Linked DNA regions of Notamacropus eugenii. The protein of the gene in region 3 purifies or fractionates together with the protein of the main gene of each other region. This does not show direct contact. Links are inferred from orthologs where the notes say so. Each region holds a gene or a part of one and is shown on either strand. Other genes may lie near its edges.

Region 1 (3,745 bases), on a different chromosome or scaffold from region 3:
CCTTGAGGAATCCTCCCAGCACATCAGCCTTGGTGCTGGGCTAGGAGCCCCCTTCTCCCTGGGGGCGGAGCTAGGGGCCAGGCTGGGACCCTTCTGCTCCTTTGGGGGCGGAGCTGGGGGGGGGGCCTCTGCTCCTTTGGGGGCGGAGCTAGGGGCCAGGCTCGGACCCTTCTGCTCCTTTGAGGGCGGAGCTGGGGGGGGGCCTCTGCTCCTTTGGGGGCGGAGCTGGGGGGGGGCCTCTGCTCCTTTGGGGGCGGAGCTGGGGGGGGGGCGCCTCTGCTCCGTTGGGGGCGGAGCTGGGGGGGGGGGCCTCTGCTCCTTTGGGGGCGGAGCTAGGGGGCCATGCTCGGACCCTTCTGCTCCTTTGAGGGCGGAGCTGGGGGGGGGGGGTCTCTGCTCCGTTGGGGGCGGAGCCTCTGCTCCTTTGGGGGCGGAGCTGGGGGCCAGGCTCGGACCCCTCTCCTCGCTCCTGGCCCTGGGTCTCCGATTGCCTCTTTTGGGACTGGCAGGGATAGTAGCCCGTCTCCAGCCCCATCCCCTCAAGGGGTCGGAGCTGGGCCTCGGGCCCGCCCTCTAAGCCATGCCCGTGCAGGCTGGCCAAGTTGGCAGCGGCAGCTGCTAAGGCGGCGGCCGTGCTAAGCCTAGGTGGAGTGCGGCGGCAGGCGGCGCGGCCCGGCCCGGCCCGGCCCGGCCCCGCCCGCCTCGCCTCGGGCTCCCTCCGCCTCCCTCCTCCCCCCTCCCCCCTCCCTCCTCCCCCGCGGCCGCCCCGCCCCCGTCGGCGGCCGCCGCAGTCAGTCCGGGCGCCGTAGCCCGAGCCCCGGCCAGGGGGCGCTGCGGGGCGGGGCGGCCGCGGCGGCCGGAGGACCAGGACCAGGACCGGCACCGGAGCGGAGAGGGAGGACGGCCGGGCGGCAGGGGCGGCGGCCGGAGTTGCGCTCCCTCCTCGGTGCGGGAGTCCCTCGCTCGGGGCCCGGCCCCGGAGCCGGAGCCAGGGCCGGTCGGGCGGGGCCGGAGCCCAATGCGGAGCGGGCGGCGCGGGGCGGCAGCGGCGGCGGGCGCGGGGGCTGCGCCCTCCCCAGGCGGCCCCGGCGCGGGGGCCCCGGCCATGCGGACCCGGGCGGCGGGAGCGGCGGCCCGCGGTAAGTGCGCGCGCGGCGCGAGCCGGGGGGAGGGGGGCGCGGGAACGCGCGGCCCGCTCACGCACCCCGCCCGCGCCCGCGGGGGTCTCCGTGGGGGGCGGAGGGGCAGCCGCATCGGGGCCGGGGCGCGGGGGGAGGTGGCAGTGCCCGGGAGCCCGCTGCCCCCTCCCCCGCCGTCCCCTCGCCCACGGGCACACAATGCCCGGCACACGCAGGGATCCCGGCACCCAGGTCCACCCAGCGCGGGCCCAACCTACGCATATGTGAGCGGCCCCCCACCCCCACACATGTACGCGGCATATGCGGGCACGCAGCACTCACACGTACGTACGCATGTACGCCTTCCCGGACCCGCAGCCCCCCGCTGCCGGGGAGGGGGGGAGGGCTCCCCTGGGCCCCGGGTCCCCCTGTTGGGCCTCCCAGAGAGACCCCAGCCCTGCGGGCGGAGGGACTGTGTGTATGTTTGCGTGGGCTGCGCGTGGGCGCATGTGATGCCTCTGTGGGGAAATCCCCGGGCATCCTCGGGCGCGCCGGGGCTGGCACCTCGCCGGCATCCAGTTCGAGGCCCTGCCCGCGACCTCCTGGCCCTGCGGCTCGGGCTGCCCCGGCACCCCAGAGCCCCTTCGTGGGCAGGAGAACCTCCGGGAGCAACTGGTGCTTCGCCACCCCGCATTGCCCGGGGGCACCTGGCCTCCCCGCAGCCCCGAAGGCTGGCACCCCCCTAAGCCCTGCTTGGCGGCCCGGGGGCAGCCTCCAGTTGTGATAAAGAGGTGGGCTGGGCAGTGGGGGCTGTTCCGGAGCAGGGCAGGACCTCCCTGAGGAGTCCTCCAGGTTACTGCTAAGTAGGTCCAGATGATGAGTGGCGGAGGAGGGGTGGTTTTTTATCGCTCTAACTAGCCACTGAACAGGTACCAGATGGCAACGGAATAGATCTTAATTTTTAGAAATGAATTATCTTCTTTGCATATTAGTGGAAAAAGAACGTTACTGATTACAATGTGATACCATAAATAAGGTGTTCATGGAAAATGTGAATATAGCATTTTCTTGTCTTCACCTTGACCTACTGTGAATAGGTAAACGTCTTTTACAAAGAGTGACTTTGGAGAGAGGACATTTTCTACTTTTTGGATTGAAGCTTCAACGCTAGTTTGTCATTATTTGTGGTTTAATAGAGTACATAAGGTGTATCAACTTTATGACTTGGGAGACTTTATGATTCTATTATTTAATTGACTCAACCTTATATCCCCACTAAATTATTGGTATTAAAGAGATGTGCATTTGTTTCTGGGAGAACTTAGGTCATTAAAGGAGCTTTGTGATTTCCTGAAGGCAACCCAATTTGTTTTACTTTTGCTGTTTTATTTAAGTATATATATATATATATATATATATATATATATATATATATATATATATATATGTATGTGTGTTATTGATCAGTTGAGTTTGACTCTTGGTGACCCCATTTGGGATTTTCTTGGCAAAGATCCTGGAATGGTTTGCCATTTCCTTCTCCTGCTCCTTTACTGATTTGGAAACCTAGGCAAACAGGGTGAAGAGACTTGCCCAGGGTCATGCAGCTAGTAAGTGTCTGAGGCCGGATTTGAACTCAGATTTTCCTTCCTCCAGGCCAGGTGCTCTTTGTATTTAGACACCTAGCTGCTTAGTCTCATAGACAAACTCTCTAGGTTAGGTGAGACTCTGTGGTAAATTGAGGGAAACACCTGGACAAGAGGCACATGGGATTGAACGGCGTGGTGGGCTGAGATTCTGCAGTTGAAGCTCCTATCTAAAAGATTCCACATCCATTTGGGTGTTATTTCATTATCATTGTTCTAAACTAGAGAGCAATGGAACATGAAGATGAGATTTTATTGATCACACTATTGTAGTTGCAGCACCAGAAGGAACCTTCTGTGCTCTATTACATTATCTTTCCTCCAGACCATCCTGGTAAATTGGCCTTTCTTCGTTTCTTAAATATCTCCATGAGAGAATATTAGGCATCTTCCTTTGATAACCCACTGAAGTACTCAACAGATAGATTTTTGGTAAAAAATGAAAGTATTTCTATGTTTTCCCCACTCCTTCAACATTATTAAAATACGCTGGCACTTTATCAACTTACCTAGCTCAACCAGCTGTAGTATAATGTCCTTGTTCTTCAGGTGGGTTTCAGGATGGAAGTATGGCAGAACATCTCTGCAAATTCCACAAGGACTTGAGGTAGCACTAGGTTCAAATTTTACTTCTTGCTCTCTGTATGACCTTTGGGAAGTCTCTTGACTTGTACTGGGGAAATAAAGGGTTTGAATCAAATATTACCTCCAAAGGCTTCTATAGTCCTGCATTCTATCATTCAATCAATAGGCATTTATTAAGCCCCAGTTCCAAGTGCCAGGCACTGTGCTAGGGGATAGGGATATAGATCCAACAAATGACAGTCTATCCAAAGGAGGTGACAGTCCTGGGACCTTAGAAGAGGTGAGTGCCAGGAAGATTCTAGCAGAACTCTGCTATCGATATTGTGTTTTTGCCAGACTTTGTTTCAGTATTGCCAAGTGTAAATCAAAACACAAAAAAGATGGCATGATTTTTTT
Region 2 (3,745 bases), on a different chromosome or scaffold from region 3:
GCGAGGAGGCTGCCGGGGCGGAGGGAGCTGCACCGTCTTGTGACAGACCAAGGGGAAAGCTCCAGCCCCTCCAACAAGCGGGAGTCCAGGCTTCAGGGGAGTCCGCAGCTTCCTCCATTTTGGTTGATGGAGGCGGGGAGGAGCGCCTTGATCTCTCACCTCCCTCTCCAAGCCCTCTGGCTTCCTCTAGCCCCTCACCTCCACATGCTCGAGGCAGGGAATGCCCCCACGGTCAAACGACCGCTCCAGGCTGGGGCTTAGAGGGGGAAGTGGCTTTAGCCCCACTGGGTTTGGTTTTGAATTGGTCCCAAGTTCCCACAGCAGCTTCCGACAAAATGGAGGACGCCGTCTCCTCCTCCTGCAGCCATGACAAGGAGGGGAGGGAAAGGGGGGTATTCCCCATGGGGGGGGAGAGGGTTAGAAAGAGTGAAGCTCCCCTTCCCTCAAGAGGCTTGAAGAGTTTTACCCCATCCCTTCCCTTTAGCCTGGCATTCCAATGGCAGCTCCTGTCCACTTCTTGCCCCATCTCCGGGGGCGTAAGGGAGATTGGAGTCGGGGTGGGGAAAAGGATTTGGGGGCATCTGGGCTGTTGGTGTCTTTCCCCACTTATTCCTGTAGGGAGAGTTCTTTAGCTGCTGCAGTTGCTGCACAAGATTGAGTGCCCAGGCCTGGGTGAAGACAGAAGGGCCCCTTAGTCCCATTCCCATTTGCCACAGCTTCTGTTTTCACCCGCCTGTGCCCCTAAGTAGCAACCCTGGGCTGGTGGTAGTGGGCAACCAAATTCACATTTGCCATAACCAGAAAGATCCAGCGGGGGGTTGGGGTGGGGAGGGAATGAGGATGGGGGAGGGGGTTTGGGGGAGAGGGGGAGGAGTGGAAGGGGGGACTCTGGGCGTGGCCAAAGTTTGACGGACGACCTTTTAGACCACCCTGCGAAGGCGGGACGGTGAAAGATTATCCTGCTGGCCAATTGACGCGTTCTAAACACCCCCGCCCGTGCCTCCCGGCAGCCAGTCCTCGTCCGGGTAGGCGGAGCCTCGTGGGGCTCGGTTGTGCCGCCTCCTCCTCCTCCTCGCCAGCGCTTAGCCCGGGACTGGACCGAGTGGAGTTGTGCGTGTTACCGAAGGGGGGGGTGGGGCGGGGGAGGGGAGGTTCGTTCCGTGGAGCCGCAGCCAGAACCGGGTGAGGATTATCCCCCACTCTTTCCCCAGCTCGGTCCGCTGATGGTGGGGGTGGCTGGGGGCAGCACTGCCTCCGGAGGAGGCGACTGGAGAGGCGGAGACGGGTGAGCCACCGAAGGAGCCTCCCACCTCCTCCGGCTTGTTACCCCGTAGTGCGGCGCTGCGGCCGTGCAGGGCCTCGGGGGCTGCCCCGGGGTCTCTCCCTCCTCTCGGGTCCGAGGCCCATTGCGGCGCAGCACGGCCCGGTCCGCCGGGCCCCGGGGCTGAGCGAGGGGCAGGGCCGGGCGCCGGCGGGGAGACGAGGCCGCGGAGGGGGCAGCCCCGCGGGTTTGGCAGTCGGGGCGTTCGGAGGCCGGGGTATTTTTCCTTTCCGTCTCGGTTTCTGAGGGGGGAGGTGACGCTGAGGGAGCTGGAGGGGGGCGGCGGCGGTGGGGACCCGGGTTCCCCCCGCCTCGGGCGGGCTATTGCCGCCGCTATTTCTCCGGAGTTGTTGGGGGGCTGCCCCCTTTCCCCACGGAGAACCCGGTCGTCGGCCCCCCGCCGTCCCAGGCGCTGCCCTGCGACGCTCCTGCGTCTCCCGTATTGTTTGCCTGGGTCTCTAATGGCGGACGGGGAGGCAGCGCTGCCGGCCGCCGACTGCAGGGGGGGCCAACCCCGGGCCCGGGGCAACTGCTGGGGGCAGATGGGGAGATCGCGGGCCGGCGGTGACGTGAGTGTCCGGGAGTGCGGTGCGGACGTCTGGATTCGTGGAAGAGGAGGCCGGCAGGGCCCCCTTCGGAAGGAACGTCCTCTCCCTCCTGGCGTCGAGGCTCTGGCTTCCCCCTCCCAGAGCAGAGGGCGCGGATGCGTGCTGGCCCATGTCGCCTCTCTAGACCTGGCCCGGGCGCCGGGGCGGGGGGGTGGGGGGTGGCCCTCGGGGCTCGGAGGGGAGGAAATGAGGCCCGACCTCCACCACCCCCACCCCCAGGGCGGGGGGACGCGGCCTTATTGGGGCCACTTGATTCTCGTTCAAATCTCTTCTCTGTTTTCGTAGGACCAGAAATCCTTTCCAGCCCCATCTGGCCCAGCTTTGGCCGAAACTACGGAGGAGAGTCCCCCATTGTGAGTCCTTTTCTCGTTATTTGTCTCCTTTTGCGGGCCTAGCCCCGGGGTGAGGGGGGGGTGTTAAACCTCCGGGATTCGCCGCCGGCCTCTGTTGTCTTGAGAAGGAGGAGCCATTGCTCGGGTGGTAGCTGCCCCTGGGGCGAAGACCCGGGACTGGCTGGGAAGGCGGCGGGGGTGGGCTCTGTGGCCCGGCCGCCACCGACGCGGCTCCTGCGGCTGCGAGAGCGGCCCGAGCCCCCCGACGACGGGCTGCAGCTGCTCACGTTACCGGGGGGAGGGCACTTGGCTGGTGCCCCCTAGAGTCTGCGGGTGGGAACCGGAGCCGACTCAAGATGAGCTGGGGAGATGCCCTAGGCATCTCTGCCACCCGCTTCTGGCCGAGAAGGCACAGGAGACGCTGGACGAAGGAAAACGAATCTGTTATTTGGTGTTCTGTTTGTTTAAAAACGGAGGTCCCGTCGTCGCGTGGGTGATGAGACGCTTCCTAAAGCTTTGAGTTCGGGTGCCGAGAGCTGCCGTGGTTTCATCCTAGTGTGTGGCAATGCTGAACAGACTTAAGATCCTTATTTGCCTTGATTTCCAAAGTCTCTGGATTTGATGTTAGATATATTTTTCTGTATTGATTATTAAATGAGAATTAGACTTTAATGGTTGTAATTTGTCGTTGTGTTTGAAACTTTCTTTTCCTTAAAGCTAAGATTTCCAGAGTATAAAGTAATAAAGTGACAAAAGTGAACGCCATACCTCTCAACAATGTATTTTGGGAAACCATGGAATTTTGTTTAATCGGGATTTATAGGACTCTCGCTAGGGGCGCTGCTTCAGTTTTGCAGGTTATTGCATAAATATGCAGTAAACACCAAATACTCAAGAAAAGTTAATCACATCCAATCCAAAGCCACTGAATTTCGTATGTTAAAGTGTAGTATTTCTGAGAATGGAAGGATGTATAAATGCATTTAAAATGGAATAAAATTACACGTGTGAAATAAAGCTTCCAAACTCATCTAGCAATTTCTAAAGAAGGTAAGGCTAATGATTAATTTGATTTTCTTGCCCTTTCTTTTAAAAGGAATATAAATATCTTTAAAAATATTAGATTTAATAATAAACAACTCTTTTCAATAGATGGACCTGTTAATGTAAAAAATAAAGATCCTGAATTATGCTGGATACCTTGTTCTTTTTCAGCACCTTTTTTTGATGTAACATTGAATCATAACTACTTCAAGCTGGTTAGTGTTCGGTAACATTGAATCATAAATACTTCAAGGTGGTTAGTGTTCAGATATTTTCCCCATGTGTTTTTAATCTTATAGTTGTTTAAAAACCGGAAGGACAGATGGATATTAACTGTGATACTGAACACAAATGAAGAGCTATCTAGTAGATCCTTGAAAGAGGGATGAAAATTTATTTTTGTGTGCCTTTGCTATGATCAGCTTTATCCTATTAATGAG
Region 3 (3,745 bases):
CTTGGCTGCTTACTGGAAATCCAATATGAACCATTGACATTTATAAGCAGCCCCACTGACAAATATTTATTGAAAAAAAAAAAAAAAGAAATGTGAAGCCTTTTGTAAGTGATTAAGAACTTACTCTTACTCTTACAAACTCCTTAAAGGCTGAGATTATGTTATATTTATTTTTAGATCTCCCATAAATTCCCTAACATAGCATCTAGCACATAGTTGGAGTTCAGTAAACGCTTTCATTAGACCAGTCTGGGGGTGGGGAACTTGTGGAATCCATGGGATTCAGTCAAAGGGTCACACTTGGGGACTTGTGGGGCCACATGGAGGCCCTCAGCTTCGAAGGTTCTCCACCCCTGGACCAGTCCTTGGGGACTCACACTTTGGTTGAGGAGTCAAGAAATAACAGGATTAGAAAGCTACAGCTGAACTACGGTGTAGAATCCATCCATGTGCAACAGGAGGTAGCAAATCAGACATTCTAAGGGACCACCTAGTCCAATCTCCCCTTCAGGGAACTGGGGAAACTGAGGCATCTCAGAGAAATCAAAGGACTTGTCCAAAGTCACACGGATAATAAGCAGCAGAGAAGGGAATGTGAAGCCCCCCGCTTCCAAATTCAGCGATCTTTGGCTTGTACCGCCACGTTGCTTGGGATTTGGATACTGGAATTGGCAGACCAATGGTGGAGTCCAAGGTCTATCATTAACCTGCTGGGTGACCCTCCTGAAGTCGCTGAACCTTTCTTAAACATCCAGTTTCTCATCTGTAAATCGAGGGGGCTGGACTATCCTTCCGGCTCTTGAGATTGTGTGAAAGGGGTGGGGGTGAAGTGGGGGCGGGGCGGGAGTCCCTTCCGTCTCCTACATACTATGATTCAGAGATCAGCGTTGGCAGTGGTGGTCAGAGAAGGCTCCATCTTGAAGGTTGAGGAGGGGGAGCAGGCCTCGTTCAATGAGCACAAGTACAGAGGTGGTACAATTGAGTATGTGCAGAAGGAGAGGGGGGAAGAAGGAAAGGGGGGAAGAAGAAAAGGGAGGAAGGGAGAAGGGAGAGAAGAGGGAGGTGGATAGATGAAAAGACTGCAATTTAAGCAGGACCGTAATCCTTCTCTCTAGCCCCTCTCCCTTGTCTGTCTCAGCTCCCCAGCTTGACTGGGAGCTCCCGGCGGGCAGGGATCTGTCACCTCCTGAAGCTTTTTTCTTCTCTCCCCAGAACAGCACTCAGGGTGCGAAAGAGGGGGTCGGAGATCATTGTCATCCGGAACTGCATCCTGCACTGCCATCCTCCCAGGTCGGTCCAGTCCAAGGAGGCCAGATGTCCCAGAACGAGGAGTCAGGGTGAGGCTGCCCTTTGCTTCCCATCCCTCATCCCATCCCCTGCCTCCCCCAATTGTCAAGCCCCCCTCACCCCGCCCCCTGGCTTAGCCTCTCGGCTCAGACAGAGAAGGCAGGAGCATCTTGCAGGAACCCTGGGGGTCTCTGTTGCTTGACAACAGCTTCTGTTGCCGGCTCTCGGTACCCAGCTTGACCACGTAACCCTGCACCTTCCTCCCCTGTCCCCTTCGGGCAGCCCCGACTCCCGGGGCTCCTCCCTCAGCATCAGCATCAGCACCTGTCTCTGCCCTTGATCATTGTGAGCTGGAGGGACTGTGGGCTGCCTCCATCCCTAGGACTCAAGAAGGGTCAGGGACCTCCCTGGAGCCCACCCAGTGCAGGTGCCCCTGCAGTACCCACTGGACCAGACCCATCCCTCTCCGTTTCTTCTCCTTTTCGTCTTCCTTCTCATCTTCCTCCCCATCTTCCTCCCCACATTCCTCCTGTTTCCCCTTCTCTTCCTCCTCATCTTTTTTATTCCCATCCTCCTCTTCTTCCTTCCCTCCCCTCCTTTTTTCCTTCCTCCTCCCCTTCTCCTCTTATCTCTCTCTTCCTCTTTTATCTTCCCTTTCTCCTTTTTCTTTCCTTTCCCTGCCCTTTCCTCCTCTTTTTATCTTCCTCTCCTCCTCCCTTCTCCCTTTCCTCTTTTTCACTCCCTCTCCCTCCCGTCTCTCTTTCCTCCTCTTTTCTCCCTCCCTCACCCCCCCTTCTTCCCCTCGGTGTTCTAAAACGTCAGCCTCCAAGGTAGGCGGGCTCGCGGGGTGCTCCTCCCAGATGCCGGGCTCCCCCAATGCGCATCCCTCGCTGCCTCCCTCTGACCCTCTCCGCCCCGCTCCTTCCAGGTCACCTGCTGAGAATCGAAACTGTGAGGAGCTTTCCATGACTTCGGAGCGGGCCACCTCCACCAAGCCCGACCAGATGGCAGACCCTCCACCACCTTCGTCCCCTCCTCCTCCCATCCTGGTGTCGGTGGCCACGGCTTCCACCTGGACCTTCCCCAACGAGCCGGTGAGTCCTAGCCAGCCCGAAGCCAGCACCAGCGGCGGCACCAAAGCCCGCGCCAGCACCGAGGAGGTGAGGGCGGGGGCAGGTACCTGGGGCCAGGTAACTCACCTGAAGGGTGGGAACCTGGGAGACAAGAAGGAAGGGGTTCGCATTCATGAAGCACCTACTGTGTGCCGGGCGCTTTACAGAGAGCATTGCATTCTATAACAATAGTGACGATTGCTAGTGTACCTTCTATAGCCAGGCCTGTACTAAGGACTTTACAAATATTATCTCATTTAATAAGAATAAAAATAACCAGCTTGGGTATAGCTGTGTGCTACTGTGTGCCAGGCCCTGTGCTAAGAGCTTCACAAATATTTCAGTCGAGCCTCACAACCACCTAGGAGGCAGAAGCTATTATCAGCACCCCCATTTTACTGAGGCAGACCAAATGAAGTGACTTGCCCTAGGTCACTCAGCTAGTGATTATCTGAAGATCTGAACTGACAACAACAATTTGTACATAGAGCTTACTGTGTGCCAGGTACTGTGCTAAGTGCTTTACCGTTATAATTTCATGTAATTAAGAGTAATTGTCATCGCTAGCGTTTACATAGTGTCTATTATGTGCCAGGAGTCATACTTAGCCCTTGACAATTGTTATCTCATTTGTTCCACTCTGGTAGGTGCTGTTATCATCCCCACTTTACAGATGAAAAAACTGAGGCAAATAGGTGAAGTGACTTGCCCAGGATCCTGGTAGATATCCAAGGTAGAATTTTAACTCAGGTCTTCCTGACTCCATGGACTACTAGGTGATGCAGTGGATAGAGTGCTGGGATGGTATCCGGAAAACTCATCTTCCTGAGTTCAAATCTGACCTCAGACACTTACTAGCTGTGTGACCCTGGGCAAGTCACTTTACCCAGTTTGCCTCAGTTTCCTCATACGTCAAATGAACTGGAAGAGGAAATGGCCAACCACTCCAGTAACTTTGCCAAGAAAACCCCAAATGGGGTCATTTGGACACCACTGAAAAACAACTGAACAGCAGCTTCCTAACTCCAAGTCCTGGGCTTTATCTGTACCTCTGTGCCTTTAGGCAGCTTTTCTAGGGAATCAACTGGATCTAGGAAGGAAAGAGCCCTGGTCTAAGGCTTAGGAAATCATAAGTTCATAGATGCAGGATTGGAAGGACCTTCTGAGACAGTCAGTTAAAACCACTTTATTTTACACTTGAAGAAAGCGAGTCCTGAGGAGGGTAAGGGATTTGCCCAATTGAACTCACAGAGGAGGTGAGATTTGAACCCACGACCCTCTGACTCTGGAGTCAGTTCTCCTTCAACTGAACCAGGAGATCAAAGTTTTCATCTTGAATCTCTTCT

What was found.
Region 1: the proteins of PML (region 3) and ZFYVE9 purify together in Homo sapiens (affinity purification with western blotting; 3 studies listed by BioGRID and IntAct, with this or other methods). This does not show direct contact. The link is inferred for Notamacropus eugenii from reciprocal best matches to the Homo sapiens genes PML and ZFYVE9.
Region 2: the proteins of PML (region 3) and ZMYM2 purify together in Homo sapiens (affinity purification with western blotting; 3 studies listed by BioGRID, with this or other methods). This does not show direct contact. The link is inferred for Notamacropus eugenii from reciprocal best matches to the Homo sapiens genes PML and ZMYM2.

The regions. Positions count from the first base shown.
Region 1 is NC_092873.1:512,294,918-512,298,662, forward strand, and holds the start of ZFYVE9 (zinc finger FYVE domain-containing protein 9), read left to right. Parts: upstream 1-1,051; 5' UTR 1,052-1,139; intron 1,140-1,307; exon of another isoform or gene 1,308-1,462; intron 1,463-3,745. UniProt on the Homo sapiens protein: Early endosomal protein that functions to recruit SMAD2/SMAD3 to intracellular membranes and to the TGF-beta receptor.
Region 2 is NC_092876.1:186,829,487-186,833,231, forward strand, and holds the start of ZMYM2 (zinc finger MYM-type protein 2), read left to right. Parts: upstream 1-1,074; 5' UTR 1,075-1,182; intron 1,183-2,214; 5' UTR 2,215-2,282; intron 2,283-3,745. UniProt on the Homo sapiens protein: Involved in the negative regulation of transcription.
Region 3 is NC_092872.1:242,512,124-242,515,868, reverse strand, and holds the start of PML (protein PML), read left to right. Parts: upstream 1-875; 5' UTR 876-951; coding exon 952-969; exon of another isoform or gene 970-982; intron 983-1,212; coding exon 1,213-1,337; intron 1,338-2,215; coding exon 2,216-2,447; intron 2,448-3,745.